Nothobranchius furzeri: one gene and its partners. The protein of the gene in region 2 purifies or fractionates together with the protein of the main gene of each other region. This does not show direct contact. Links are inferred from orthologs where the notes say so. Each region holds a gene or a part of one and is shown on either strand. Other genes may lie near its edges. The genes, in order: cdk20, foxj1b, rfx3 and tbc1d32.

The links.
Region 1: the proteins of foxj1b (region 2) and cdk20 purify together in Homo sapiens (affinity purification with mass spectrometry; 3 studies listed by BioGRID and IntAct, counting the BioPlex papers as one, with this or other methods). This does not show direct contact. The link is inferred for Nothobranchius furzeri from reciprocal best matches to the Homo sapiens genes FOXJ1 and CDK20.
Region 3: the proteins of foxj1b (region 2) and rfx3 purify together in Homo sapiens (affinity purification with mass spectrometry; 3 studies listed by BioGRID and IntAct, counting the BioPlex papers as one, with this or other methods). This does not show direct contact. The link is inferred for Nothobranchius furzeri from reciprocal best matches to the Homo sapiens genes FOXJ1 and RFX3.
Region 4: the proteins of foxj1b (region 2) and tbc1d32 purify together in Homo sapiens (affinity purification with mass spectrometry; 3 studies listed by BioGRID and IntAct, counting the BioPlex papers as one, with this or other methods). This does not show direct contact. The link is inferred for Nothobranchius furzeri from reciprocal best matches to the Homo sapiens genes FOXJ1 and TBC1D32.

What each region holds. Positions count from the first base shown.
Region 1 is NC_091755.1:47,131,844-47,139,862, forward strand, and holds cdk20 (cyclin-dependent kinase 20), read right to left. Parts: upstream 4,878-8,019; 5' UTR 4,855-4,877; intron 4,552-4,854; coding exon of another isoform or gene 4,466-4,551; exon of another isoform or gene 4,288-4,465; intron 3,926-4,287; exon of another isoform or gene 3,420-3,925; intron 3,340-3,419; 5' UTR 3,305-3,339; coding exon 3,230-3,304; intron 3,139-3,229; coding exon 3,025-3,138; intron 2,596-3,024; coding exon 2,407-2,595; intron 2,207-2,406; coding exon 2,085-2,206; intron 1,855-2,084; coding exon 1,792-1,854; intron 1,675-1,791; coding exon 1,551-1,674; intron 1,369-1,550; coding exon 1,213-1,368; intron 1,129-1,212; coding exon 937-1,128; 3' UTR 856-936; downstream 1-855. Other genes in the region: erythroid transcription factor, read right to left, coding at 323-406; protein UXT, read left to right, coding at 4,466-4,551, 5,192-5,273, 5,710-5,777, 5,916-6,023, 6,187-6,250, 6,516-6,578. UniProt on the Homo sapiens protein: Required for high-level Shh responses in the developing neural tube.
Region 2 is NC_091756.1:26,390,036-26,398,356, forward strand, and holds the start of foxj1b (forkhead box protein J1-B), read right to left. Parts: upstream 5,259-8,321; 5' UTR 5,006-5,258; coding exon 4,433-5,005; intron 1,820-4,432; coding exon 959-1,819; 3' UTR 1-958. UniProt on the Homo sapiens protein: Transcription factor specifically required for the formation of motile cilia. Acts by activating transcription of genes that mediate assembly of motile cilia, such as CFAP157.
Region 3 is NC_091746.1:53,262,386-53,270,638, reverse strand, and holds the start of rfx3 (transcription factor RFX3), read right to left. Parts: upstream 5,088-8,253; 5' UTR 4,919-5,087; intron 4,901-4,918; exon of another isoform or gene 2,063-4,900; intron 264-2,062; 5' UTR 259-263; coding exon 151-258; intron 37-150; coding exon 1-36. UniProt on the Homo sapiens protein: Transcription factor required for ciliogenesis and islet cell differentiation during endocrine pancreas development. Essential for the differentiation of nodal monocilia and left-right asymmetry specification during embryogenesis.
Region 4 is NC_091742.1:10,617,307-10,624,591, forward strand, and holds part of tbc1d32 (protein broad-minded), read right to left. Parts: intron 4,024-7,285; coding exon 3,808-4,023; intron 1-3,807.

The DNA of each region.
Region 1 (8,019 bases), on a different chromosome or scaffold from region 2:
ACACAAACCTGATGCAGCAGGTTTCCTGTTTGCTTCAGAATAAAATGGATTTTAGGTTCCACTGACGTTCGAGCCTGAATAACATTTTAGACATTTTTTAAACAGAAATATTGTTTATTGTGGGGAAATGCAGCAGATGGAGGTAAAGAACTCCACAAAAGGTAAAAGACAAACAGGAGAACAAGACAGCTGAGGCCTCCACAGAGAAAGGAGCGTCCGCCGCTCTCCAGAAGATCCCAGGCTCTTCAGCAGATCCTGCTCTGTCCAGTTCATGTTTGGTTAAAACAACATCAGCAGAACAAAGTATGTTTTAGACTCTGACCTTTGCAATGAAACCCGATGATGTTTCACACCCGGTGTCCAGAAAAGTTGTGGACCAGTCAGCTGCCAGGGAATAGTCGGCCATGTTCCCGTTGATCCGAGAAGACGGAGCGAGAGCCCTCTCTGACGTCTGAGGAGCTTTCAGAGGAAACTCAGATCTGCTCAGGGTTCGAGGTTTTTCCCCTGAATGAAGACGAGTCTGCTCTGGGGAAGGGGTTGGGGGTCACCAGGAGGAAGAGGAGGGGCATCAGGAGAAGGAGGGGTAGTCTGGCTCCTCCCACAAACCCTTAGCCCACGTTTTCAGGTTTTTTATGATCCGAATCAGCTCTTTGTTACAAGATCGGTTTTACTACAGAAACAAGGAAGATCTGGATCAGAACCAAAGGAACGAGGAGCTGAAGTTCTGTTGTTCTGATGATTAGAGATCAGGTGAGGAGATCCACCACCTGTTCCTCCTCCTCACTGAGAGGAGCTCCCAGATCAGACCCAGAACACACGCATGTGTAAACAGACAGGAAGAACAAGAAACGGCAATAAAATTTTCCAGGTCTTAAATAGAAATGTTTATTCTTCTTCTTCACTTCGGTTAAATGCAAAAGTTCAGACTCGTCTGTTTCAGAGACAGGAGGCGTGAGGCTGCAGCAGCAAAGGGTCCACCACGCTCTTCTGCAGGGGCATGTCTAAAGAGAAATCAGTGGGCGGAGCCTGATGACGCTGGCGAGGGGGGTGGCCCCCCCTGTGAGGAATGGGAAGCTCCGAGTGGTGAGCAGGAAGAGGAGGGGTGAAGAAATATGGATGAAGAAGAGCCTGCAGGGGGAGGAGCCAAACATCACCATCAGTTACTGATCAGGTACACCTGTCCCTTTGCTACGTCCTCTGCACGAGTCCTACCTGTTTGGCGGAACAGCGCTGTCTGGACGGGTACACCAGGAACCTGTACAGCAGGTCGATGGCCTGAGGGGGCGTGTCTGGAACAATCTCCTCCAATGGGATGGCTGGATTCTCCTTGAAGGTGATTTTATTGTAATCTGGAAGCTCAGCGATCTCCTGCAGATGGAGAACAAAAACCCGGTTCTAGTCTCACCTGGCAGCTGACGCCGTTAGAGCCAACCAACAAAAGTGCAGCTTGTCTACATCGTATCTGGTATGGTGGACCCTGAGCCAACGGACGATGGGAGCCTGCAGACCTGGTTCTGTTGGGAGTAACTGTTATATGGGACATGTCTTACAGGCCAGCTGTCCCGGGTCGGCGTTCCCAGAACTCTGAGGACGCAACACAGCTGCTCGATGTCGTTTTCTCCAGGAAACAGAGGAGACGAGTTCAGCAGCTCCCCGAAAATACACCCGACAGCCCTGAAACACAGAGAGGCGTGAGCGCTGCCCTCTGCTGCTCAGCTCACAGCACTGTCACTGTGGACTCAGCCCCTGAGCAAGGCAGCAATAGCACCAGCAGCAGGGTTTCACTCTCACCACAGATCCACTCCTTCATCGTACTTCCGGGCTCCGTAGAGCAGCTCAGGAGCTCGGTACCACCTGAAAACACACACACACACACACACACACACACACACACATACACACACACACACACACACACACACACACACACACACACACACACACATACACACACACACACACACACACAAGACAAAACAATTTTTTTCTCTATTTCCTGCAGATCAAAAATTTTAATTTTCATCTTCAATCAACAAATTTTTTGTGTGACCGAGCTGTGAAAAAGGGGCGGAGCTTGTGCTTACCTGGTGGCCACCTGGTGGCTGTAAAGCCTCTCGCCTTGATCGCTGAACAGCCTGGCGAGACCGAAATCGGCGATCTTTAGGTGACCCGAGGAGCTGATGAGCAGGTTAGCTGGCTTCAGGTCCTACACACACACACACACACACACACACACACACACACACACACACACACACACCAGAACCAGAATCACAAACCCTTATGGGCCGTGGACTGTGTGTGTGTGTGTGTGTGTGTGTGTGTGTGTGTGTGTGTGTGTGTGTGTGTGTGTGTGTGTGTGTGTGTGTGTGTGTGTGTGTGCGTGTGTGTGAGCAGTGCACTCACCCGGTGCATGATGTTATTGCGATGCAGGAAGGCCACGCCCTTTAGCAGCATCATCATGTACCCCTTGACCTGTGCCGGGGTCAGAGGTCGCTGGTGGTTCCTGATGACCTCAGAGAGGTCCGACAGCATGAAGTCAAAGACCAGAACAAAGCCCGTCCCGTGGGGAAAGACGTCCTTCAGCTTCACAACCTGGAAGAGTTCAGGACAACGTTCCCAAAAGGAAGATTGAATCATTCCCAACAAAACATCTGCAGGTTTTTTTTATCAAAGCAGCTGAAGCTGAGCACCGAGGGTCCACCAGGTGTGGTGCTGTAATGGAACCAGATTTCTGCTCAGACTTAAAACCAACAGCAGATCTGGGCAACCAGGCACTTACCAGCCCCCCAGATCTCTGTGATGCTCCTCCTCGTCTCCTCAGAAGGAGGAATAGAGAACGTAAAATCATGGAAATCTGTTAATTTGGCAAATAGCTTTGTGAGGAATGGCCTGCAGATCAGGTGGATTCAGGACTGTGGTTCTGACACCATCACGAACACCAGTTTGTGGCATTTCAGTAGCATCAGGTCTGACACCTCGCTGTCCTCTGAACTGGGCAGAAGCAGCTGGAGGGACACTCACATACTGGTTGTCCTCAATCTCCTGCAGGGCCTTGATCTCCCTCAGAGCCTGGTTCGGGATGCCGTCTTCCAGCCTCCTCAGAGCCACTTTCTTCAGAGCCACCGTCTCTCCTGTCTGAGAGAAAAGGCACAAGACGAACATTCTGAGGAGGAACTGCTCTGCACCTGGAACCAGACCCAGAGGCTGGATCTTTTGCTATCGGTACCTCAATGTGTTTGGCCTTGAACACAATGCCGTGAGCTCCTTCTCCGATCCGACCCTGGATGCTGTACTGCTCCATGTCTGGGACAAGAACCTGATCCGGTCTGCTGATTTCTGCAGGAAGACCAATTTTTCATCTGATTCCACATTAAAACTTCAAGCTGTAACATTAAACTAAATAAGATATAGGTGACCTCTTTTTGAGAAAGAAAACACCTCCCAGAGCTTCTTTTACCTCCTCCAGCTGACCGACAGGAGCCAGAATTCAGACCGGAAACAAAGCTCCGTGTACAAAAGACGCCGTTTACGATTTTGCGCGTTTCAGTTCAATAAAACACCAACGTTTCTGAAATATTACGGAACGATAACTGAAATAAAGGTCGTAAGTTTTATTCGGGTTCTGAGATTATACATAAATCAGCTCGATTTCAATTGGATCCGAATTTTACAGAGGATGCTAACTCGTGTTGCCATGGTAACGTCACCACTAAGCTAAGTTAGCTCCTATGGCTTAATGAAACCGTCGAAATAATTTCAATTCGAGCAGAAATGTTTCCTGATAGTCGTTCAAGCCTGAAAGCGCGGCGAGGAGATCCGGTTTTCGGGCCTGAAACGTTTGAAAACGTTTTGTTTCAGACAAGAGCTGCGTTAGCTACGGTCACGTGACAACGGAAGTCACGACACAGATCCAAATCAGCTAGAAAAGACTCACATGTCAGTCAGAAGTGAAAATTAAATAAATAAATTATATATATATATATATATATATATATATAAATATATATGTATGGGGTTATGACATGAATGTGTATATAGGTTTTATGGGTTTTACAAATGTGTAATTTGGATGTGTTTTTAGAATTTAGAGATTTTAGTGCCGGCTGCTTCACAATGCTGTCTCGAATTGCCCCTCGGGGACTAATAAAGTTGTCTTGAGTCTTGATATATATATATATATATATATATATATATATATATATATATATATATAATCAGTCTGGAGCGTCTTCGTCTAATGCATCTATCTGTTTTATGTCTACATGCTTTATTTTGAAAATTTGGGGGCACTCAATGATTTAGTTCCGGTGTAAAGAATTATTTACATGCTAGCTTGGCATGCTAGCTGTGCTAACGGCACGTTTTTGTGTCCGAAACGGTTAATTTACATTGAGCAGAAATTCATCTGAACTGAATTAATCCGCATGAAGTTATTATTGTTGTTATTAATCTGAAAAGCTGCATGGAGGAACCTGTCGCTGAAAACGTGGACCGGAAGGTTCTGCAGTACGAAACGTTCATCAACGAGGTTCTGAAGAGAGATTTACGGTACGATTTAACTCGTATAGTTGATTTAGTTTCTCAGCTCTGCTCCTCTGTTTGGTTTTGAATTCTGAGTAGTTTCACAGATCCTGGTTTAGTTAGGGCAGGGTTGGTAGCTCTAGCTTGAAGCAGGTAAATAAAAGTTGGTGCTGGGTTCTGATGAATCTAAGCAGTTTCCGGTTAAGTTTTGATGCGATGTTTATGTCTCTACAGACACGATCATTATAGTACAGGTTAAGTTCTTTAAACGTAAATCATAAAGTTGTATTAAACACATTTGTGACAATCACTATGACCAGTGACTGGTACCTGGTTACCATGGCAGCCCCCCAGAGGGCGGGGTCTATCCGGCTAGAGAAGTTGACGCTTCATCTGAGCGACCAGAACAAAAGTCAAACTGCGGTGGTGAGTCCACAGAGTCGGATGATGTTCTGGTCTGTGGAATCAGAACCAACCAAAAAGATCCAGTGAAGGAGAACCAGAGAGTGGGTCCTGGAGAACCACGGATCCCTGGTGTGGTTCTTATCCAATAGAACAGTCAGAAAATGATTGCAAACTCATTTCAAATACTCTATTTTGACACCTCACACACACACACACACACACACACACACACACACACTGATGAAGGTGTTCTGTTTGACAGGAAGGTGTTGGAGCAGAGAGACCAGGTTTATGAGAAGATCTCCCAGTACCTGCAGCTGAAGAACACGATCCAGAGTCTGCAGGTAGTGTGTGTGTGTGTGTGTGTGTGTGTGTGTGCGTGCGTGCGTGTGTGTGTGTGTGTGTATGTGTGTGTGTGTGTGTGAGAGAGAGAGAGAGAGAGAGATTTTAAGGAGGGAGGCATCACTCTGGGAGGATCATAGGGCCTCCTCTAGGATTTTTTTCAGTTGTTTGAAATATTTTCAGCTAACATCCGCCATGTTTTAATCTCTGGAAACCTTTTAACTGCTGATGAAAATCCAGCGGAGCTGTGTGTTCTGGATCAGGAGTTCTGTTCAGGCCCGATCCAACAACAGACCAGTAACCTGAGCTCTTTAGGCCTCGTGCTGTCAATCAGAAACGCCTGTTTGTTTGTGATAGAATTTTGTGTGTGTGTATATATTTATATATGTTTATATCATGATGATGACGTTGCGGTTATGTCACTCCGTGTTCTTGCAGGAGGCGGAGTCCCAGCAGCTGAAGACAGACGTCGATCTGGGCTGCAGCTTCTATGTTCAGGCTCAAGTGTGAGTGTCTGTCTCTCTAGAGTGTCCAGCTCCTCCCTCCACAGACATTTAACCTCTTTTAGATGTTTGGTTCTGGTTCTGAGCAGTTTGGTTGTGTTTGGTCCCGGTTCTGACCCGTTGTTCCCCTCCTTTGGACAGAGACGACTCGTCCAGGATCTTCGTGGCGGTCGGTTTCGGGTTCTTCGTGGAAATGACCCACGATGAAGCTCTGCAGTTCATCACCAAGAAGACGAGTCAGCTGACAGTGTGAGCTCTGTGTTGCCGTGACAACACAAACTTTTTGTCACACGTCTCATTTTTGTCGAGCTGAGATCTAGTTCTAAATAAAGTTGAGGGAGTTTGAACGAGTGCTGTGTTAGCTCAATGTTCGGAACCAAAGATGCTAACCATGCTAACGCTTGTTTTGCAGCTTCACAGAGCAACTCACTAAAGACGCCGCCAAAATAAAAGCCAACATCCGCATGGTCCTTGAGGTCAGTTATTATGTCTATGATCTGAAGCTCTTTAATATTTGATTTGAGTTTTTCTGCTGAGTGTTTGATCTTCTATAAGTCAAAGCGAGTCAGAGACTCGGTAAGATCTGAAGTAGAGCCGGTCCGGTAGCGTCGAGGTGAGTTGGTGCTGATGGAGAGGGACGTTCTCCTCTAAAATCAGATGTGTTCATCGTGGAACCACGGAGAACCCTGATCCTCCAGATGAGGTGTCTGATTGGCTGCTATCTTCTTCCTCTGCCTTCAGGGTTTGCGGGAGCTGCAGGGACTCACCGACCTTCCCGAGAGCCAAAGAAGAGACGTCTTCTAGACTTTTCCTGGTTCTGGGCAGCAGGTGCTGCTGGGGCTGGACCTCCGGGGGAGGAGGAAACTCCTCTTCCTGGGAGGAGCTTTGTGGACAGCAGGACGAAGGTCTCCTCAGATGTTTGAAGAACATCACAGCAGTCATGAGTCTTTCCTGATTAAAATACTAAACTGAAGTTCATGTATTTTCATTTTTTCATTCATATTTTATTAATAATGAGGTTTTTAGTTTGGATTTGTTTTATTTATGTCAAACTTTAGTTTTTGTGTATATTTTTTATTGGATGTAGTTCTACTTTAGTTCTTTCTGGGATTTATTGTAATAAAATAATATCATATATTTTAGGCTTAAATGGGTAAAAGTTGTTGGTTGTTTATTTGCCAACATTTCATTTCCTGATGAATAAAATCATTCACACATTCTTCTTATAATAAATAATATTTTTAGACCTAAAAAGTGTTATTTGTCTTTTTGAACAAGCTGATTTAGATTTAAAGTGAACTTTTTTTGTTATTTTTAAGATCTTTTCCCGGTGTTATGGTTTATTTGTCTCTCAAAACCAAATATAAACTTTTGAAAGGAATTTGTCGGAATGTTCCTGAGGAACGCTGAGACGTTTAGCGGGTTTGTTGCGTTGGAAGAACGGGAACGTGCTCGAAGAGTCATGCGTGACCAGCACGTGTTAGCTCTGTGAGGCTGACGGGTGGTCAGCTGCACGAGCTCGTCAGCTTTCACGACCTTCATCCGGTGTGATGAATATCAGCTGCTCGCACAGAAGCTCGACGACGCAGAGCCTGTTTCCATGACAACGAGCTGCCGAATAGAGGTGCTGAGAGACTCTTGAAACTGAATCAGAGAAAGAAAGGAGCATCTTTTGTGTTCAGTTTGCTGCTCGGATCCAGAATCCAGCTTTTATTTCCCTGAAACACAGAAACACGTCTGGGAATGAGTCCTTTTATTCTGATAAGTACCTCTACCTGCACAACAACAGCAGCAATGACTAATATTATTATTATTAATGTTATTTGTGATGATGTGTCTGACATTCATCAAGTTTGCTTCATCTTTGCTTATAGAGTTCATATCTTCCTGGTTTTGGAATTTTAAAAAGTCTGATTTTCTAAACTTTTCACTTGTTATTAATTTACTTTCATGTTATAAAATAATTTGAACGCTTGAAATTATAATGCTATTCCTTTCATAATAAAATGTCTTCTTTTACGGTCTTCATAAATATTTATTTTAGAGGTGTTTCGTTTGAGGGGGGATTATTTAATTGAATAATTTATTTATCCATTCATTTATTCCTTCCTGGGTTGAACTTCTGCCCAGATGTGATGTGATGGGTGAGGAGCAGACGTGGCCCAGATGTTCCTCTGATGAGCCTCACATGAATGCTGCTTCATCCTTCTCGTTTCTGGGTTTTATTTTCGTCCTTCAACGAGAT
Region 2 (8,321 bases):
GTCTGCAAACAATTACCAAACTTAATATTCCACCAGCCTCTGTTAGGAAATGGGCTCTTATGAGGTTTGCATTCAAAAAATTATCACCCTTAACTTTCAGGTCAAATGAGACTTGTCTTTTTAGAACTGTTTACAACCTGCATCCTTCCCTCCAACGTTGCTGAGACTGGTTCAACCTTATCGTGAAAAGTATGCGGGGTTTTTCAGTTTCAATTACACTGAACTGGTACATGAAAAATATTTGCAACAGGTTGTGTAAAAACATTTGGACAATCAAAATTTAGTTCCAATGCATCTTGGTTGTCTCGGTTTCTTTCACGATTTCCCCAGATTGGCCTTAACAATGTGGTCGCCAACCCCTAACAGAGTTCTCTCTCGTTTCTCACTTTTTACGTACAAAAACACAAACTGATTGTGCCGAGGGGGGGAAGCCCCTTAAATGACTGTTTGAACATGTTGAAAATGTAAGCATCACGATGCAGAGGAAACTGATCCTTTGCAAGGGTTTGAGACGAACTTCAGTCAGATACCGGCCTCGTGAACTTACTGATATTGTTGCAGAGAAATCACAGGACAATCCCCCCACCCATGCCAAAATAAGGAACAACTCGACCAGCCTGACAACAGTTTGATGTGTTTAAGGAGCCTCGAAGCTCCATAGATGCCTCTCTGAGAACGCAGAAACCCCATCACTCAACCTACAGCATCAAAAAGTTGTTAATGTATCAGTAACAAGCGTGGCAGGACCTCACACCCTGATGAGTCAGTAGATCCCCCAACGACCTGCTAGTAATCAGGTCCATGCTCGTCGTGTTACAGCTGATCGGTGTCATTCAAAAGTTGTGGACTCTTGCAGAGTGATTGTAAAGGACTAGAAGTTTTGGTAGTGGTGTTATTCTTTCCTACAAGACTGTCCGCACAGTAGTTTGATGTGACAAAGTCACAGATAACTCTCTGCTTATTCCCAAGGCGGCATTTCCGTGAAGAAGCCCTCATACAGACCAAATCCCTGATCCAGGGTCAGAGGAATAGCCTGCGCTTCTTCTTTAATCTCCTCCCATGGCTGGAGCACAGCCTCTCTTGACTGCTCTGGGAACAGAGAGGTTGGTTCGTCAAAATGCTGCAGATGGTGCTGACCTTGGAGCGGCTGGTCTTGGTCCAGCTGCTGCTGCCTCAGCAGCGGATGCTGCTGGGATGCATGGAGCTCTCCCATGCTCACCGAGCACTCCATGGAAGCAGCACTCAGGTCCAGGTAGCCGTAGGACTGATGGTGGCTGATGTGCTGGCTCGGACTCATTACATCACCTGCTCCACACCACCTCCCCAGTCCCGCGGGGTGCTGCCTCCCATGAATGGAAACCTCCATCTCACAGCCCAGGGAGCTGAGCGCCGTGTTGATGTCTAAGTCCTCAAAGGTGCTGCAGTTCCCGCTCAGAACGTCGTCGAACACAGATGCCAAGTCAAAGTCCCCCTTGAGGAGGTCCATTTTGTTAGCTTCCATCACTAGAAGAGGGGACTCGGTGGCTCTGACTGGCTTGTTGCTTTTAGAGGGTAGATGCTTTCGTTTGCTGCCCACTCCCGGAAAAGAGCAGGTGTCTTGGATGCTGTCGTAACTTGGAACCAGTTTATTTGGTCTTTGGGAGGCACTGCTGTTGCTGTACTGGTTAGCGGACATCCTTCGACGTTTGAAGATGCCATTGACAAACATGTCGGCATACTGCGGATCAATCTGCCAGAAGCCTCCCTTCCCTGGCTCGTCCTTCTGCCTGGGGACCTTCTTGAAACACTTGTTGAGGGACAGGTTGTGACGAATCGAGTTCTGTGTCAAGACAAGAAAAAGAGATGATTAAACATGGACAAAACAAGGCAGTCATGCGAGAACTAAAAATGCCAATTTGTCAGGGAGACAGCAGAGTGGGCGTTGGGGGCATTGTTGTTGTTTGTATAGAAAAGCAAATGTGCCTAATGAGGCTTTCTAGTAACAGGCAGCTCTGTGCATTTCAAACACGATCAGCTGTGCTTAGCTGCATCTCTCTCAGGAGCCCTCATTAACACACATGTACACACACACACACACACACACACACATCAGAACTCGCACTGAAACTGCTGGGTTAAGCCTAGTTTAGGCTTCTGCATCAGCTCCACGAGGGAGAGACGCACATGCATTGATGCAGACGTTTTGCTCTCAGACTTCCCCGTCCCCTGGAGAGTGTTGCAAAGCAATTCCCTGCCAGGACAACAGAGGGCAAAGCACTTTTCTGGGGTATGCTGTCATGTATCCGGCCCTAAAGGGAGCCTAAGTCATGCCCATCTACCGCATCATGGGTCCCCAGAAGAACAAAAAAATGAATTGGGGCTAAAAACGCTATTTTCTAATTCCGCTTGTTTTGCTCCATGGATTTCACATATGATGTCTGTGAATTTTAAAGACACATTTTGATAGCAAGAACACGCTTATTTTCCAATGGGGGGAAATGTTATTTTAGGTTTTGTGTGAAAATAAGTCCAGGACTACAAATGCGCTTTACGAAAGTGACGTCATCGAACCAGACACGGAGAAAAACTGGGAAAATGGCCGTAAGTTTAGTGAACTTCCAATCCTTCCTTCAGGAAGAAAGAACCACCACAAATCTGGCCATGTGGTAAGTAGCAGCTACGCTAGGGGAGAAGATATTCTGTCGTAACGTCATTTGTGCAGCATGCCGATGTCTAATTTGTAGTCATACTAATTACGAACTTCTACAAGCTGGTATATCTCAAAGTACATGACTGGCGTGGTCGAAAAACCCATCGTTACTTTTCATTTAAATCTAAGTTCAACATATGTGCGGTCCAGGGTGTAGGGCAAAGCGGATTAGAAAATAGCGTTTTTAGCCTCATTGACTTGCATTCTTTTTTTCGTTCTCCCAGGGACCCGTGAGCTGACCGGAAAGGGAGGAGACTCAGGCTCCCTTTTTACTGTTGTGTGTGTGTGTTTTTTTTTTGTTTTTTTGTATTTCGTCATATATATATATTTTTTTTTTTTTTGCTAAGCTTGTCCCCATCCCATAGAGCCCCATGCTATTTTGAATTTACGCTGCTCAGTATTAGCTAATAGTGTTAGACATCCGCTTACATATATGTCAAAGTTGACTACTTTTCTCATGGAATAGTTATTATTTAAACAGCATGATGTGAGAATAATAACTGTAAAAAAAAGGGTTTTTAGCTCTATTGGCCATCTAGGTGTGTGTCCACGAATGAGGGGCGTTGCTTCCAACTGAAATTGTGATCCATTTTTCAGCCTCTAGATGGTGCAGTCAGAGAAAACACTTACTGCAGTTTGAATTGACATGTTTTCTATTTAAAATAACTGTTTTCATATTTCAACAGCTATATGTAACTATCTAAATATAGACTCTAGTTATTTAGATTTAGCAATAATACGAGGATGTATGTGTAAATGTTTGGCCAAGTCATAGTTTATGAATGTTCACACCTTCTTTTATTGTCTGACTGATTTGACTAAACATGACAGCTTTTAATGCATTCCTTTAAAATTACCACCCAATGCTAATAACCTCTAAATTATGCCATGTGAGCCAATTACTTCGTCTCATAAATGCTTTTGACCCAAACTTTGTGTATTTTAGACCGTGTTGTCATCTGTGAGCTACAGTTCTGCAAATAACAACTAAAATGATTGTTTCTTAAATATATTCTTTTGTCCAACTGCCATATTTTGTAAAGAATATGAATTTAAAGGGCTAGTTCGACCTTTTGAACTATGGAAAGATTATTCAGAAAACTACATACCTTTTCAACAACTTCAACTTGGAGAATAAAGAGTCTAATTCTGACCCGATGGGGTTAGAGTGAATCCAGTTACATGTCATCCTAAAACAGCTTTAATTGTGTGAGGGCATTTTCACCTCGTCATCATGTCCGTTTATCAACCCTTGTCAATCCTTATCAATTATGCTGGCAGAAATGTAAAAGTCTGACAAGGAATGCTCTGGTGTGAAAACTAAATACTGTGATGTAAATAACTGAGTGTCATGGTGTAAGGTTTCCAAGACACTGGCAGCATAAACCAGCGTTTTAAAGATTTTTTTCATGGCTGCAATAATATTATAACCTACCAAATGTGACAGGCTGTTAGATTTTCAAAGATCAAAACTTGTCTCTGTTTCTTTGAACAGAGGCTGTTCACATGTTCATCAGGTAAGAGATCTGAGGGTCACTTTAAATGATAGAACCGATCAAATGTGAAGCCTAAGCCTTGGACAGAGGCAGAAGCCTGATTTTATCTTTGTTAGGGTAACTCTGCCTGGCTTAAGGAAGATGTGTGTGATGGTGACACTGGAGTCAATTGCTCTGCCTTCCCTCCCTCACCTCAGCATTATCAGCCTCATAAATTATAAAGAGGGACGTATCCGGTCTCGGTTACCTGCCAGCTGGGCTCAGCGTGTCTGTAGTAGCAGAAATTCTCTGTGATCCAGTTGTAGATGGTGGACAGAGTCACTTTAGGCTGTTTGCTGGCCTGCATGGCCATGCATATGAGAGAGGCGTAGGAGTACGGTGGTTTAACTTTAGGGTTAGTTTTGTAGTCCACTTCCACCTGCGGGCTTGTCTGGAGCGGGATCTGCGGATAGCCGGGTGTTGGGTGCGCGCAGTTCGGGAACCGCTGGGAGTCGCTACCGGACGTGAAGGGGCTCCCGGGGTGCAGAGACATCCCGCTGGCGGCTGTGTCTCCGGCCGGTGGGCTAGAAGGAGAGTCAGTGCCCGTTCTGGGGAAGCCCAGACGTCTCAGGAAGTGGTGCTGTAGCGAGGAAGGGCATCCGGGTCCGGCGGCGTTGGGTCGCTCCGGGTCCGTGCTGATGATTGAGAAATTCTGGAGCCAGTGGAGACTGGTGAGACTGTCGTCCAGGGGAGCGGAGTCCAAGACCTGATCCTCCGGGAACACCGCGAGCCACCTCTCTTTGAACTTGTTGGCTATATCTGGGCTCGTCAAAACTGGCATCCTGGAATTTACGCACGCGCTGTAGCCTTGAAGGGTCTTTAGACTGACATTTAAATTTAAAAAAAGAGCAGAAAATAAAAGTTTATGAATTAAACAACCGTTCTGACTTCAGTTAAACCACCAGAGATAATACATTTGCATTCATCCCCCGACAAGCGACGCGGTAACGCTCTCCTCCTGGCGCGTGGCTGGCGGAGATGCTCTGTGTACACCTGTTGCTGTTCTTCCCTGTCTCTCCTCTCCAAGGACTCAGCAGCGCATCTAGTTTGTGCGCAACAAGTGCGGTGGGGGGAGGGCGAGGCGCAGCCAGCGCATATGGAAGAGGAGGGGGTTTAAATACAAGAAAAAGAAAGGAGACACTTAGGAGCACTCATGCGACGGGGATCTCCTGCGTGTGTGTGTGTGTGTGTGTGTGTGTGTGTGTGTGTGTGTGTGTGTGTGTGTGTGTGTGTGTGTGTGTGTGTGTGGCTGTCTACTCTATTTTAATTACCTCCATCCTCCTGTCTTTGTTTTACTTCTAAATGTTAAACTTTCAAGGGTGGTGCGCTTTCTTGTACGAATTACTTCTTTGTTTTTATATCTGTGATTCGGATTGGAAACGGGCTGAAATATGAGCTCATGGCGCGCGTAAAGCTGGCGCTAGAAGACGCGCCACATGTCCCACTCTGCGTCTGCAAACAAAAAACAGCTGAGCAAGCTTATGCGTCATTTTTTTTAAATCTCATTCAATTCACAGAGGGGCCGCGATTTAGGCAGAAGTCGTGTTCACAACAAATATACTCAGGCTGTACAGCATAAAAGTTTTTGAGGTTAAACTCGCCTGAATTCTGACCAACATGCGCAGCAAGAAGGACTCAAAAGCAACAGCGTTCTGTTAAATCCGTTTGAAACCACCCCACTTAAATTTGAGTTTGTTTTAGAATGATGTGCAAGTACGCCAATCAAACAACATTTAAAGGTTTTCTTTTCTAATAAATTGGGCATTTGTTGCAGAACTCGTACGTGCAAGATTACAATCAGTTTTTGTTAACATATTTACCACAATGAGTCAATTCAGCTTTACCAAACAAGTATGTATTGGCCAGTTGTTGGACTTAGTGGTGTGTTAAAGAGCCTCAATCAAATGCTGCTAATCACGGGAAAACAGTGCCACCATGTGGATTTAATACCACACTGCAGCTGCACCAGAGTCCAAGCGCTAACAGAAATCTGGTGAGGGGTTATTTCTACAATAAAATTTTTTAAAAAACTCATCATCTTCTGACTTCTTGTCCTGAAACAGTCCCACAACCTACAAAATGTCTGTTTTGTTTTCCTCATTTGACTATTTTTTTCATCAAATAAGAGGACAGATCCTAGCAAAATGACACCAACTTTCAATCTAGATGGGTGTGAAGCTTTAAAATCAACTCAGATAAATGGCATTCAAAATGTTTCTGTTTTGAAGAAACTCAAGTCTTCTGCCTGAAGGAAGAAGGGTGACTAGTTCATGGGCTGAATGGAAAAGGAGGCTGCTGTTGGTCACTTTTGAGCAGATCTAAACATCCTGGTCAGTCTTATCAGATGTCAGTACACACTCCACTACAAATCGTAAACACAAGCTGCATTCAAAGTCTGTCATTCATGCCTTTGTCCTGTCCAGACTCGACTACTGCAATGCAATGTATGTGGGTCTGAGTCAGGGTGCGATTACTCGCCTAGCTGGTTCAGAATTCAGCTGCTAGATTTTTGGCCATATTACATCGGCGTTGGCGGAACTCCACTGGCTTCCCGTGCAGTACAGAGCAAAGTTTAAAAGAGCTGATTCTTCCTTCCAAATTTTGAAGTCATGTCTGAAGACCCGTTATTATATCCAGGCAATTTTGTCTTGAACGTAATTGTTTCATTGTTGTTGTTTTTATCTGTTTTCATTGTGTTTTATTTTTTGATCTTTTATTGTGTTTAGTAATGCAACTGCTTTTTATTGTTCTGTTCAGCACCTTGATCTTCTGCTCAAGGTGGTGGAAGGTGCCGGATAAATGATGATGAAGACGTTAACTCTAACCCACTTTCACTGTAAACAGAATAACAGCACAGCCTTTTCAATGATACTGGCTGTGTTAGCTCAGTGTCGTATGATGCTCGCTCATGATGTTTTCCCAAAAACATCATCTCCCTCCTGCTTTAATGGCTACCGTCCTGTTGCACTTACTCCCATCCTTATGAAGTGCTTCGAACGGTTAGTCATGCAACACATCAAGTCTGTTCTGCCCCCCTGCCTGGACCCCTTCCAGTTTGCATACCGGCCCAACCGCTCGACCGATGATGCCATCTCCACTGCACTCCACTCAGCACTCACACATCTGGACAAAAAAGACTCACATGTCCGGATGCTGTTCATAGACTTTAGTTCAGCATTCAACACCATCATCCCCCAACAGCTTACTCAAAAACTGGTCCAGCTGGGTCTCAACACCTCACTGTGTAACTGGCTGTTGGACTTCCTCACTGGAAGACCACAAGCAGTACGGGTCGGCAGAAACACATCCAGCACCATCATTTCAAACACGGGGGCCCCCCAGGGATGTGTGCTGAGCCCCCTCCTCTTTACTCTGCTGACCCACGACTGTACACCATTGCACAGCTCTAACCTCTTCATCAAGTTTGCGGATGACACAACGGTGGTGGGTCCCATAAACAACGGGGATGAGACTGAACACAGGACCGAGGTGAGCCGCCTTACCACATGGTGTGCTGACAACAACCTCTCTCTAAATGTGGTGAAGACCAAGGAGATTGTTGTGGACTTCAGGAGAGCACACACTCAGCATGCTCCTCTGACCATCAACGGTGTGTCTGTGGAGAGAGTGAGCAGCACCAAGTTCCTGGGTGTGCACATTACAGAGGATCTCTCCTGGACGAACAACACCATAGCATTGGCGAGGAAATCACAGCAGCGTCTCTTCTTCCTCCGCAAACTAAGAAGAGCAAGAGCACCAGCCCCCATCCTGTACACTTTCTACAGAGGCACCATCGAGAGCATCCTGTCGTGCGGCATCACTGTGTGGTACGGAGCCTGCAACGTTTCATGCATTAAAACCCTCCAACGTATAGTGAGAGCAACAGAGAAGGTCATTGGGGTCTCTCTCCCCTCCATACCAGACATTTACAGTGCCCGCCTCACAAAAAAGGCCCTTCGCATTGCGGCTGATCCCACTCACCCAATGCAAAGCCTCTTCGAGCTGCTGCCGTCAGGGAGGAGACTGCGGAGTCTCAAGGCCAGGACCAACAGACTGAAGGGCAGCTTTATCCATCAGGCCGTTAGGAAGCTAAACTC
Region 3 (8,253 bases), on a different chromosome or scaffold from region 2:
TGGGTAAACATGCTGAACCTGTTGAACAGTCTGGGCCTGAAAAAAGGGAAAAAACAAAACGGCTTGAAATTATTCCATTAACTTGCCAAAGCTACAGATGTGAGCAGAGAGGATTTGGATCCAAAGGTCACATAAAGGACCGGGACGTACCTGCTGCTGGACAGGCACCTGCTGGGTGGAGCCGGTAGGCTGGACAGGCACAGTGGTCTGAAGGGGGACAGTGGAGGTGGAGTCAGCGCCTGCTTCAGGGGTCTGCATGGCGCCTAAACAGAAAAAAAAAAGAAACACAGAGACTAAATATGATCCCAGTAACTAAAAAAGTCAGTGCAACTATTAACCTGCCAGGCTTAGTGGTGAATCATCTTTATTATCTCATATTAACCACAGCAGAAGCTCAGGCAGAAACCAAAACTGATGCTAAATCAAAAGCTGTTGACACATTTAAGCATTTATTGATCTGTCTTTCACCAGAAACTGCTGCTAACAAAATCCAAATAGTCTGATTTTATGTGACAAAAATCTCTACTTATTAAAGCCCTCATTCACATGTTTTCTTCAACGCGTTTGCTGTCTCTAGTATAAATGAATGCCTTGCGAGTCCATTTCTGTGGAAAAAATATATAGTGCTCCGGTTTAAAAATGACAAGTTAACCGGAGGAGAGGGGAGCAGAAAATGGCAGGATATGGAGTCTTATTCATTAATATTCTGACATCTCACCTCTGATTGGCTAGCAGCAACATGACTCTACCACTGCCTCTGTTTGCTCTGCAACGTTGATGTTTTATCTCCACAAACAACACAATCCCGAAGGAGTTCTGCCATGTTGTGGAGTTGCTAACGCTAACGGTTAGCTTCTACTAGCTGAGGCGTGCCATGCTTTCTCCTGGACACTTCCCCGTCGTGAGAGAAGATGGGCGAGTTTGTGAATGCTAATTCAGTGCAACTTAGATCTTCGTGGCTTTTCTAATCCATGCGATCCCCATCAGCAGCTAACACAGGATATTTGGGTAGAAGACTATTTTCATGTTAAGCTTGCATGTTAGAGTCAGAATGGCCAATCACATTTAAAAAATAACAAGGAAAAAAATGGTTTCTAAGTGAACTTGGTTTTTAATCAAATGCAAACTTGATGAATGAAATTCACATAACACACAACATCTTTGTCCAACTATCCACACTTTGGCTTGCTGTGGACAGATAAAGCAGCTAAAGGAGAGACTATTCTAGGGACAACAGGAAGTGCGAGGTGTCATCATAAACCTGTGTATGTTTTGCCCAAATCAATGCCACTAAAGCAGCTTTAGACCAACAGTACCTGAGCACCTGTTTCCACCCCGTGGCACTCGGTGTACCGAGAGCCTCATGCATCACTGACACACACTCTTGTCTCCACATTTGCTGCCATAAAACAAGTTAATATTTAACAAACTCTAAATAGATTCTCGTTTCTCTACCGGTCCTCTTGCTGTTGCTCTTTTAACAGAAGGCCCCGCAGCTGGAATTTAAATAAGTCCTCCAAAGAATTGCTTATCATTTTCTTTGATTTTTACAAAAATATTTAAGCAATATATAAACACAGAATATGTAAGATCCTGACCTAATGGAGCAAATTTGAAAAGAAAACGACAAGAGTGAGAGGAAAGACTTAACCTATATTTGTGAGTTAATAACAGTGTGGCTCCCATCACCCATTGCTTCCAGGGAAAGGCCAGCTCCTCCTCATCAGTTTCCATGAACAAGCCTCTCTTGGTTAATTAAGCTGGTGCTCCTTAGAGCTTCAAATCACTCCGGGGACGACGTGCCCCTTTCCATTACCTTCAAACTGTCCATTTTCCAGGCTATCACCTTATTCATGTTGGGGTAACTAAATCGAACCTGGCCACAATAGGGTCAACGCGACAACAAGAGGTGGGAAAAGATGGATTTTTTCCTTACACATTCCCGTTTTGGAAAGCAAATTAATTTAGTGTCCCAAAAGGCAACCCTCCGTCTTTTAAAGGAAAAATAAAACCACTAATATTCAGCACACATATTTGTATTTTCAAAAAAGTTTTTGCGTACCATGATATGCCTCATAATGAACCTGTAGCGCTCCATTTCCTTCATCCTGAGAAGTCTTACAGGAAGTGAAGAATGTGGAATATTCCGCGTGTATTCCACAAAGCAGTTAGCAAGCTAAAGCAAAGGGCCCCAACCGAGCCTACCTAATTGGGGAAAAGAACCCCCAGCATCACCTCAACCCCCCCTTCACAATGACAAACACACACACACACACACACACACACACACACACACACACACACACACACACACACACACACACACACACACACACACACACACACACACACACACACACACACACACACACACACACACACACACCATTCAGACGCTCCCTTGTGGCCCACTTAAACGCCGTGCTCCACTGAGCAAGTGTGAGCCCTACAAAGACACGAAGGAACAAAAGCCACCAAGGAGCGCAACACTGCACCCTGAGTTTTCTTCCTGCTAGCATACCAGGCCACACAATCCTGGAGCTCACGAGGCTCACAGCAGCCGCTAACGGAAACCACAGAACACTATAATTTTCCTCCGTAATGACAAAGTTGGACGTGTAATGTATAGAGTAAAGGCATACGCGAGAGTGAACAAGACTGATTGCGGTCGAGAGAAATTCTTTTCTTGTTCTTGGTGGTTTGATCAGGTGGCAGGAAAACAGGTGGAGGGAAATCTAATTGGGAGCTGAGGAGGTGGAGGGTATGCAAAGAACTGTGTTTGTGTAGGGGGAGAAGGAGGAGGGGGGGTGGTTACGATTACAAAGGAAAGAGGGACTGACTTCCATCGTGAGCACCAGTAATGCTGATTTCACAGTCAAAAACTTTGCATTTATAAAAGATCCCATGAGACTGTTGAACATCTCATCTGTTTATACAGGTGAAGCTAATGAAAAGTGTCAGAAATCACTGGTTACCACAGGCCTTCTGCTCATTTCAATAACCAGGAGTAGGAAGTGATAATAAAAAGAAGTAATCACCTTTAAAAAGACCATTATTTCATTAACATTACAGCAGGATGGCTGTGATAAATTACAAACCAAACATGCTGCTAAAGCCAGGAAAATGGCCGACAGAATAATTGAATTAATCAGCCCCTCTTTAAGTGATTGGAAATGCAACAGGATCCAGGTAGCAGGTGGCATGGTACTATTTCTGCCCTTCTGGACCACAGGTAAGTGGAAACCTGATCTGATAGCTGCCAGCTCCTAACATCCACTTTTGTGTGTGTGTGTGTGTGTGTGTGTGTGTGTGTGTGTGTGTGTGTGTGTGTGTGTGTGTGTGTGTGTGTGTGTGTGTGTGTGTGTGTGTGTGTGTGTGTGTGTGTGTGTGTGTGTGTGTGTGATCAAGATGACCTCATTTAGCTTGTACATGTGAACAGATCTAAATGATTTTAGTATATAACACCATAATGTGCTCAGATTATGCAGCTTTATGTTGATCCAGTGGAGATGATGTGCTGTGGCGCTGTTGGGTCCAGCTGGGTTGGATTCACAAATTATTATACAACACCTAAAACACTATAAGAAAAAAGGAATTATGAAGTTTACCTGTACCTTTTTTTTTTTACTGAACAATAACCTTTTGCTCTTGAAGATAAATCAGGACATCCTAAGTCCCCACCTACCCCTTCCCCTCACACACACACACACACACACACACACACACCTGCTTTCTTCCCAAATGGGATTCAGAGGTTGCAGGTGAACATGAGACCCAGTGGACCTAAGAATAAAATGTGATGCAACACAGAGAAACCAATTTTAAATGGAGCACCAACAGAATTAAAGCACCCCTAAATGCCGGGCTGTTATACTGTTGGGAAGAATAGGTATACAACAAATCTGCCTGACAGAAATTATGTTTAAAATTCCATAAAAAATTAAAAATCCACCTGTTAAGAAATCCTTTCTCCTTATACATATGTAAAATGAATAGGCAACCATTTAAACTAATTCTCTCATTAGGTCTGAACTTGTTTTAATAGTTTTAGAAAAAATGTCAATTTAACAAATCTTAAAAAGTAAATAACTCGACGGGGTGCAATGACGTTTACCAGCCCATTTCCAGGATGTGCCACTCAGAACCCTAAATGATTCCACTAAACACAACCTTTATCCAAATTGAAAATGTTAGCTCACTCAGAACTATTTTCTCCGAGCTGCAGAACTTAGTGTGGTGTTATCTGAAAGCTTATCACAGCCATCTGATGCCACAAAGAGGGCAGATGGAGAGCTAGCGAAGCTATCTTGTAGCAAAAGACAAAAGGGAAAGTAATGGCTTAGCTATTGTCAACCAGTGAGTGAGTGCAGGGCTAGCTTACGACACTTTCCATTTGCCAACAGCCGTACAGATTTTCTGTAACCGACCAGATTTCCTACACATCGAAACACAAACTTGCAACATCAGCGTTGACGTTGCCTCCCAAAAAAAACAGGATACCAACAGGCATTGTCAGGAGGCATCGCTGGCGTTAGCAACAACAGACACCTGCTCCAGCTGACCAGTTAGCAACGCTGACTAGCCGGCAGCTCTGCTACCACAGCGTGGAAAGTTAAAACTACAAAACATGTTCAATAATAGAAACACTTTTACAAGTCGTTTTAGCTCCGCAGCGTTCCTTATTTCCGTATAGCTTATCTCTGCTAGCAAAGCAGGAGCTCTTCTCATAACGAGTTCCCACAAGGAACCTTAGCAAAGCAGGCTAACACGTTACAAAGAAACACCCTCGCTAGAGCCTTCAACCCAGCAGCAGACAAAACACAAACCAGAAGCAAACCTCCCGCATAAACCCCTCTCATCTTGTCAGAGGAGAAAGCGCTTGCATTCGGGCTAAAAACAGCGAAGAGTTGAGCCAAACCTGAGCTGCGGACTGGTTGATGAAGATGAGGATGTTGGAGGAGGTGGTAATGATGGAGCCAGAGGTTGTTGTTGGTGGGTTACAGTCGCCAGGACTACGGTGACTATGGCGTTGCCTCACTGGGCAACAGTTGCTATAAAACTCATCTGCAGCGCTCAACCTTCTTACCAGGCAGGTGGGAGGAGATTTAGGCGCACATATTCATCTGAAGAAATATAATCAACCCGATTAAAAAAAAAAACTAAACATGTGTCCATGGCTGTCCGTTAACACCCGAAGTCACGGCTTTTTGGCCTGATCTAGTTTAGACTTTATAGAGACTTTAAAATTGTTTGGCGTAAAAAAAACCTAGAAAATCAAATCTTACAGAAGAGATTGTTGTGATTTGCCAATTATTAACAAAACAGTTTATTTAAATGGGTTTTAAACAAAAATCTTAATTTTATTGGGTGAATAATTTTGTTTTTAGTTTTCTTACTTTTATTATAGGGCATAAAAACTGTCTTATTCTGAGGACTGACAAGGTTACAAGTGTGTTTTGTTATTAGAGAACATGTAACCGTTGTAAGTATGTGATATAAATTGATAGTTTTGTAATTTACAAGGAAAAAATTGCCTCCACCGGGGCGGTGGGGTGGGGGGTTCCAAGGGGGGCCAGTGCCACCATGACAGAAAGTTTGGACCCCTGATGAGAGCAGAGCATAGGCATTAAAGGTCAACTTTACTCATAGCTTTAATACATTTGCAGTGGTCTACAGTAGGAATTAATGCCTTGCAATCAATTTTCTGGGAAAAAAGCTCTGGTGCGCCATTTTGAGGATGTAGAAGTCAGCTAGAGGAGAAAGTGGCAGGATATGGAGTCTTATTTCCTGATATTTGGATATCTTACCTATGACTGGCCAACAGAAACCTTATCTTTACTCAAGACAAAAATAGCATGATACAATCAGTAAACAGCATGAGGTGAACTGTATGAAACACAACTTAGCACAAAAATGCTCAGAGTCTGAACCAGGAAATGGCTGCAGGCATAAAGCTCTGGAACAACCAGTGACTTAGCCAATCAGCACCCAACAGTCGTGATGCTGGCCCAGGTCAGAGCACTTGGAACGTCAAGGAAGCAGTGACTTAATTCATGAACTGCCAGCCATTTTTTGATCAGAAAAGCCCTGCGCTGCCAGCGTTTTTCAGCGTTTTCAATGTTTTTTTAAGAGTTACAGAACATTGCGTGCTAGGATGATATCAACGCCAGAACTAACAAAAGAAAGAGTAGACTCACCTCTTACTCCACAAAGAATCTGCATGTTTCAAGCATTATCCATTCTTTCGTAATCCGTTGTCGAATTTTGATCGGCCTGCGACCTTCCGATTACTGGACAACTGACTCTACCTCTGGAGCTACTGCCGTTCCATTGAAACAGGTGGCAGCAGAGTTCTATTTTGTTTCAAACTTGTTCTATTTGGAGAAAAGGCCTGTGGGCACCTTATATGGTTCCTGGGGCACCAGGTTGGTGACCCCTGGTGTGGAACCTTCCCTGAGAATGGGGAACTCTTCCCCTAAAACAAGATTCTAACCAGTTCTCACCCTTCTTAATGTTTTTTTAACCCTCAGGAGGCATGGTGTTGCAAGTTTGCAACGTTAAAACCTACCTACCTGGTTACCCCACATACGTATTTCATCAGCATTTTTTAACTCAGAAGTACGCCTGAAGGACTTAGTTGTTGGTCCTTTTATCAAAACTTAATTTGAGCCTGAGAGGATTAATGTCCTGATATATTTGTTTTTATTGGATGTTTTACACAGTAAAATGGCTTTTATATATTTACAACTGAAGTGTTATTAAACTCTTTGAAGTGCTGAGTAGAAAGCATTAGTCAAGGCAATGCAATTATCTTTGAAAATCTAACATAAACCTAAATACATTCATACTTTAAATGCATCTTTTTTTGCAAATTAGATTTGATAATTGTCACCTACTGTTCTGTCTCAGTCAAGATCAGACTCTGCATTTTCCCTTCCTGTGTGACAGGATAACACAAAAGCACTCTGGGTGGATGAAAAGGAAGCAGAAATTGGTGGGATGTCACTTTAAGTAAAATCTGAGTGAATGATTGCCTGTCGTACACTACACTGTGTGTGAGCACCTAACCAGGAATGTGCACAAGGAAGACCCAGTATGTGTCATTCAGCACGGCTGATGATTTAATTGATACAGGTTGTCACTGTTCTCAATTGTTCCTCCATTTCTACCATAATTCGCAAAGACATTTGCCTTCATGGGCAATTCCGCTTTAGCATTGGAGGTTTTGTTTCTCAGCCTGCATCGTCTCATTTATTTAAAGCACACAGTTGGTGGATTCCCCTTAAAATGAAGTGTTCCCTTCAACTGTTTATTTCCATAAATACTGCAGCCCTAATTGAGTGACTTGGACCTGTGTGTGTGTGGCAATGACATTTAGTACAGAAAGTGTTGAATGTTCCTAAAAATATGCATGCAGGTGCTATAGGTTGAAATAATTTGCCACATGGCACAAGTAGATCAGAAAATACATGCAAGAACTTTAAGAGTGAGAACAGTGACCAAACAAAGGGAGTGTTGTTAAGTGGCCTCACACCGAGCGCAGAGCCTATCCAACCACCTGTGTCCGCTGCACAGTACTTTTTATTTTTTATTTGATTAGCAGTTACTAAACAGATGCTTTTTGGAAAAGCTGTTGTCGCTGTTGCTAGGCAACTGGTGAAATCCATCTGAAGCTGAACTCTCTGGTTAAAAGAAATCTTTTCAAGTGAAACGGTTTTTAGTTTTATATAAGTGGAGGGCTGGTGCCAACTTAAATTCTTTTATACGTGTAAAAAATAAAAAAGAGCAAAGTTGGCTAATTGTTTCTGGCACAACTAAGTTCAGCAGTTTAAACAATTTTATTTTCTTATTTTAGGTTTTATGAAGCTACTTTTCAAAGTCCCAGCTAAGCTTTAAAGGCGTGGAACACTGAAACCCCATTTTTTAAGGATTGTTTCTGATTATAATCAGTCACTCTGAGTTTAACATGCAGCCTGAACATGGAAAATAGTCTCAATAGTCTCCTACACCTATCTCCTGCATTAGCTTCTGATAGAAAATAGATGGTGAAACTCTGGAATTTGAAAAGCCTGACAGATCTTTATCAAGTGGTCGCTTGGACTCATCCATCTTGGCTTGTGACGAGGAAGGCTGTTGTTGGTTTAGATTCCAGGGAACAGCAGAGAATATCCAGACTAGTAGAAGCTAATCTTTAGCATGAGCAACTCCACCACACAGAAAAACTCCACCAGGCTTGTGTTGTTTGTGGAGATA
Region 4 (7,285 bases), on a different chromosome or scaffold from region 2:
AGGAGATCATTAGGTAGGTTAATTACTGTTGATTTCTATCTTTGGTAAGGTTGTCATCACAAGATGAATGGGCGGAGAGTGGAGGAGAAACTAATCACAGTATTTTAGGTGGGGGGGGGGGGTGTTTGTTTATGCTGTGATGATTGAAGACGATGGGTTTCTGTCATCAGTTTGAGGCCAAACAGCAACATGTAGGAAATGAAAACAAACTCTAGTCTTACTGCAGAAAGTTAACCATAAATTACTTAAATACATGTAGATCTGACCAAGTTTCATTGATACATTCATGTTAGACCTGTTTCTGCTGACAATTGCCCTCCAACTATGCCGTTTTCTATTCATTTGCAGATGAAGGAAATGATGTCCTCCTGCTGAACCCATCGCTAGACCAGTGGTGTCCAGCTCTGGTCCTTCAGAAGCCCTACCTTCCAATCAGCTGTTGGATCAGGTGCGTTAGAGCAAGAAAAACTCTAAAGTACTCCAAACTCTGCAGGATGAGTTTCTGCCCTAGTTTTTAATTTTCATTTATACCTGGCATCACCTATAAACCAGACATTAAAATCCATCAGAGAGCGCGAGAGAGAGCGAAAACCATCATTGATTAATGTAAAGTATAGGAATACATTAATCAAAAACTTTGGATTTTAACAAATGAGATGATTTTATGATGAGAAAGATAAACTTTATTCAGAGAGTAAGAGTCTCGTCTTCTGCATGAGACCTTGGGGTTCCAGCAAACGTAAGGGAGCTAGGGGAAGGACTTATAATGGCTCCCTTATTAGATAACAAGGTCACTGAGCTGTAGCTTTCTGGTCTGGAGACCAGACAGACAGGATGTGTGACGCAGATTGTGCCTGCAAGTTTTTGGTCATTTTGAAGAAATACTTGACCTTTTGGTACGCTACATATTATTATCATCAAATATGAAATAAGCATCCAACATTTTTATTGGAAGGTTAAGTTTCTTCATGGTTTTAGTGTTTTCAGCAGCTGAGTCTGGTTCGTGCTTTGTCACATTTCTGAAATAAGATTCAAACAAACCAGGCCAACATGTTATTTATCTTATTGCATTGATCATTTAGTTTTTAAAGCTGTTAATTTAAAAGCAATCATTTAAATATATTTATATAACCTGTCTGTTAAACAGATGGTTGATTAGCAAAGATACTCCTGCCCTTAACAGTGAGTCTAATATTTACCTAAACATAAACACGTTAGCATAAGAATGTCTCCTTTTACTTTACACTACTCATGTGGTCCAGACTAAAACATGGTGGTTTGACGTGGCCTCTGGGTCAGTGGAGGACATAAAACCTTCATTGTAACTGTGGTTGGATTCACACCAACTGTAACAAGTCATTTCCCCTTTAAAATGTTAATTTAGGTGAAATATAGATGCACCCCCAGGGAGACGGGATGAATGAAGCAGAAGAACAGAAACCACATCGTCTGGGTGAAAAATTTCACTTGATTCCTTTGCAGGCAGAACCGTTGGAGCCAGGGAGGCGCGATGAAGCTACAGCTCGTTAGAGAAACTTTAGATAAAGACTCAAACAGATGTTTTCAACGTTAATGCCACAGACCCCTTAAGTTCAGACTTATTTTACTACAATTAGACTATATCAAGTAGATAATTGTTCTTGTCTGATGGAGTCTTCCTGAAACATCCAGGTTGTTTACTGTAACAGGCCCCCACTGTTAGTGTGACAGGAACAGCAACACCCAAAAGGAGATAAGAAGTAAAACTAATTATTCCAGAGCTAATCTTTATTAAAGCCTGATTAGTCACCTTCCCAGCTAAAATGTCCCGTAATCCCAGCAGAACTTCCCACAGTAATAAAGGGAAAGCCATAATGTCCATTTTTGTAGTGCGTGGAAAAGCTATCATCAGGTACCTGGAACACGGCTGTTTCCATGAACGCATTCTACTTTATAGTGAATAACAGCTAATAAATAACCAACAACAAATATCTTTAATCTGATGCCAGTCAAACTAATTTAGTGAAAAACCATCATGTCACTGTTTAAATAAGCCTACTCGGCTCATGGTGGAGGTAAATGGGTCCTGATGCTGCAGCAGGTGGTGTCTGGGTGGAGCACAGAGAGTAAGGCACGGTGGGAAGGTGAATAAAGCTCCTTTGTGTCGATGTAAAAACTACAGAACTCTGTTAGAGACAGCCTCACACACATTAAACCTTACAAGATGTTTGTTCTCAGTGGAACATCCTGGTACTTATAGGGTAGGACTGTCCCATGTTACCAAGGCAACATGAAGGCGAGACAGTTTTCCACAGGAGAACACATCTCAACGCACCAGATCTGAGATCAGCAGACTTCTGCAAAAAAAGTTATTGATCTGTTTTGTTGCAGGACGGTGGCCCAGGAGGGCCACAGTAAAGTCCTTCACCTTCACAGATCAAGTCATAGGCCTATCAATGGAGCACAGATAAGTTGATATGATTACCTGCACACATGAACCAGGAAGTACAGAATATGTTCCTCCATCAGTCTCTGTTATTCTTTTAAATTATGCTTCATTAAGTCACTTAAAAATAGTTTTGTTTTTGTTGTTGCAGCAGAAATTCTGAGGTCAAATCTGACTCATCTGGATTTTCCATCATTTCTGCATCAGAACAAGTTCAAACTTCTAAACTACAAGCAGAATTCTTACACGTTTTTTTTCCCAGTTTCATGCACTTTAGATGTTTTTAACTAATCAGGTTGTAATGTAAAAGTCAAAACTGGTATTAAAGACTGTAGACCAGGCCTGGAGGGCCAATATCCAGCAGGTGGTTCCACCGCTGGAGCAGAGAACATGTGGATACCGGCCCTCTAGGTACTGAAATCTTTAAATGACCAAGATGTGGGGGAAAAAAAAAAAGTTTCAGCTTGTAGTTTAAAATGTTTGAGATCAGTTTAACTCATTCTGATCAAAGAATAATCAAAACCAGACTCCCATCCTCAGGATTTTAGCTGCTACAACAGACACACCACCGCTAGCAACTCCAGTGTGATTAATAATACTGAAGTTAAACATCAATGTATCTGTGCTCCATTAATAAGCCTGTGACCATCTGAGGAGCTGAGGTCAACAGATGAACTCTAAGCACCAGGTGATGAAGCTAGTGTTAGCCTTTCCTCTGAGGACTGAGCTGTTAGCTGCAAAGATGATGTCATGATGCATCAATAAACTCCTCCTACATCCATGCTCCTTCATGTTTTTGTCTCAGATCCAGAGAAGAACTTGTGAATGAAAGTTAGGCATACCTGCTCCTATGGTTTCTTCATCTAAGACCTCCTCCTGGTGGAATCATTTTACCATCTACAAGTTTGGATTTATTGTGGATTTTCTCTAATTGACAGTAAAAACAAAACAGATCAACCTGAACAGAACGTAGAGCAGTGGTGCCCCACCCTGGTCCTCTACAGGGGCTGTGCACCAACACCCCTGATTTAACCCTCCCACTGTCCTAATGGGTGACCCCGTGAGGAAAGTTGACCATTGAGCAGGGTTGATGGTTTATCCCTTGAGGTCCATGTGGCAGGGGTGAGGTGGTGCTCACTCCTCACCCCTGCCACATGGACCTCAAGGGGTAAACCCTCAACCCTGTTCAATGGTCAACTTTCCTCGCGGGGGAGGGTTAAATAAAAGTAGAGAAACCTTCTGGAGAGAGGACCAGGGCGGGGCACCACTGACCTTTAATTCAAGAAGATTCACCATAATTTCAGTAAATCTAATAGATGAATGCAGCTTCTTGTCCCACAGGAGTAACCCTGTAGGACAATCCAGTTAAACATCTCACTCACATAAAACCATGCCGGACTGAGGCTGACCTTCAGGAAGACCTGCAGCTCCTGTGACTGAGTGTGCTGCAGGATGTCTGGCTGCAGGTGTTTGAGCACGGCCACGCACAGGTAAACCTGGTAATCTGGACCCATCAGCACACAGGTACAGATGTAGTGGCAGATCTCTGTCCAGTCCAGGTAGTTCCAGAAGCACTGAGTCAGCCAGTGGAGGCACATCTGGGATCAGATAAAAGTTGTTAAGACCTTCAGAACTATTCACACCGTGTGATGTTGGAGAATAAACACCAGCAGTCAGTGATATTGAGCTGGGATTAGGGGACACAAACAATATTTGCTTCTGCCTCTAATGACCAAAAATCTGAGTGAAAAGAGCCAGAACTGCAGAGAGGAATCACTGACTTTAGGACATTTGTCCAACTCTGATCCAAAGATGGAGCTCAGATCACCACAACACCACCGAGGTTCACGCCCAAACAAACAAAACAGCTCCTGCTTCTACTTAATTAGCCAGCCAGCTCACACACTCGCATCACTCGCGCTCCATAAACACGTTAAATCATCAGCAGCCTCTGTAGCTGAGCTCTAATGAAAATCCTGACATCCTAATTTGTGTTGTCATAAAAACAGGAAACGACTGACTCCGTGCTGCTGACAAACAACACGCCCGTTTGATGGGACCGACCTTTTGGTCTCCCATTCAGGAGCCAATAATAATATTGGACCAGGTCAGCTCATAACATACAGAATGTGTTCTGGAGCATCTCTGGGAACACGTTTCAGGTACCGAACCAACAAACTCATTCTAAAACCAGTTTAAATCTGAGACAACCTGTTAGATAAAAACTGATACTAACAGTATTGAACTGATATTAATGCCTTGACTGTTAAATATCTGGTGTCTTTTTAAACGTAGCTTCATCAATTCATTTTACTCGGTTGATAGATAACAGGCCCCCGCAGGTCTTACAGGGAGGAGTAGGTTTTAGGAGGATGACCTAGCCTTGGAACCGACCTTTATCAGTAAAACTCCCTTGAGAAAGTCCAGGAACTGCTTTGTTGATTTAGGGTGCACCTGGAGAAAGCTTAGTCTCCCTTTTTTACAGCTTTCTGCCTGAGAGTCTAAGAAATGTCAAAATGTGTGTGTGTCAATCTTTTGTGTGTGTGTGTGCTTAATAAATGCTTTCGAAGGACTCTGTCTGATGAGAGTGAAATGGCGACCGTTGTCTGGTGTGTATCTTTTCCTCTCCACTTTGCAAAGTCTAAATTGATTGTTTATGAATTGGTATTGGTGTTGATCGATTGATTACTATAACCCCCTAAGGGAATCCTGGATTAATAAAATTACCCAACATAACTGATTAGACTGAGGAGGATCCAGAGTACCCCGAGAACACTTGAAGACCTCAGCAGCAACAAATGTTACAATAAATCAGATTTATAATCCACGTGACATATTAGCATGACACCTGGGCCCTCATTTATCAAACGTTCGTTGAAACTGTCCTATATTCCCTCCTACGACCGACATTTAGAATGTGTACGAACGGTCAAAAGACTGATTTATGAAACGCACGTTCCTCCACAATCGTCTGAAATCCCACCCGTGCGTACCCAGGTGCTCGTATCGTTCTGTCAGAAACACCCTCAATTGACCATATTTGGTCACGCTACGTCGTCAGCTCGTGAGGGAATCAAAAATATGAAAGCTTTTATTGACAGCGAGATTGAAACAGTGGCTGCCAAAGCACAAAAGAACTAAGATGCAGAGGTTCCCGTCAGAATTACAATTTTAAAGATGGATTTGTTTCGTCGGGCTCTGTTTGGAGTTAGTTTTATTTGTTAATGTCCGAGACTGAAGCCTCTTCACAGTGGCCATTTAGTCTGGTTACCTTGGCAACGGAGAACAGAAGAGCTTCTGGGGGTTCCCTGGATCCACATTCGTGCTCCACAAATAGTCCTGAACCCCAGCAGAGCAGAAGGATTTGCTTTGAGATCAGTGCGCTCGTGGAGAACACGTTCTGATAAATCCTCAAATAACACAGAACAGCCCAGATATGATGTCAGACTCCCGTCGGTCACAGGTGTCTTATTGGTTTTTCCACCGACGTAACTACATACTGGGTAAATATAATCTGTGGGTGACTGAGACCTCCAGTACTGCTGTTCCCCTGTTCTACCACTAGAGGCTGTTCCTACGCACGGTCAGACATGTTCACGCACACATACAAACCGGTAAATACCACACAACGCGTTAAATTGTTCCCACGCACGAAATAAGCACAGATCTGCTTGTAAGTAAGGTTGATAAATGAGGGCCCAGGTCACAATTCAATGATTCTGATCATCCATCTTCATTAAATAAACAAGCAGGAGGTGTTAACTGAACACCTAGACTGTAAAATATAACTGTTATGTTTTTAAACATGTGCAAGAGTTGAACCGTGGCTAAAAGGTCAAGAGCAGTCAGCTCTCACCTGAGTCCCTACAGGAGGAAGAACAACTAATCCTGTCACTTCTCAGCCCAGATGGCTCCATGTGTATCTCCTACACCATCTGACCCACAGCGGAGGCTCCACTCGCCCGTGGCGACTCTCACTTCACAGTCCTGACTTGTAAATTGAGGAGAGACCCGCTGAGAGAAACTCTGAGCCTCTCAGAGAGACCTGATTGAAATGTGGATCCTGTTGGTGGATAATGTGATAAACTCTACAGCAGACACCTCTACTGCACGTTTATCCTGTAATGAAAACTCCAAACGCCTGCAAAAACCTCAGAGCTCCACAAAGACCTCCAACCTGAGTGGGAGGAGCCAGGAAGTCATCCTACAAGGACAAAACAACACGGCAAGCATCCAGGGTTTGGAGGAACTGTTAAATATCAGAGGCAGGGAAACAGTCCTGTCGCTATAATAAAGGTTTTTAATTGGCTAATGAAGTTTGAAGTCCTTAACCCAAACTCCATAAGTCCTCCAGGTGTTGTTCAGGAGGAGGTGAGCTGCTGCTCTGTCAGATAAAACATCTGACTGTGTCGCTGAGCCCTAGAGACGGCAGGTTAACCCCGTACGTTGTAGAATGTCGACACAGGATCAAAACACAAAAGCTTCGAGGTGAAGAGCCTCATCTAAGAGGAGTGAAGATCAAAAAGAAATGACTTTGTAAAAACTACTTTTTAGTCTTTTTTCCAACATCAGATCTGGTTAGTCTTCATTTTACATTTCTGGGTCATAACAACAAAGTATTTCTGTAAAGATTTTAGTCTCTTCCTGACATCAAAGTAGATGTTTTCATGGGCACTTCTACCTGAGTAAAACGTATTTAAGTACTGCTACTTTTACTAGCGTATAGCCTCAGCCTACTCTGCCCAGTCAGCTACATTCATTAGAGGCGTTTCTTTTACGGTGAGATTCTGATGGGCTGTTACAGGTTCTGGGAGGTTCTGATTAGATGACTTCACTATAAAAAAAACTTCTTCAGAAGGA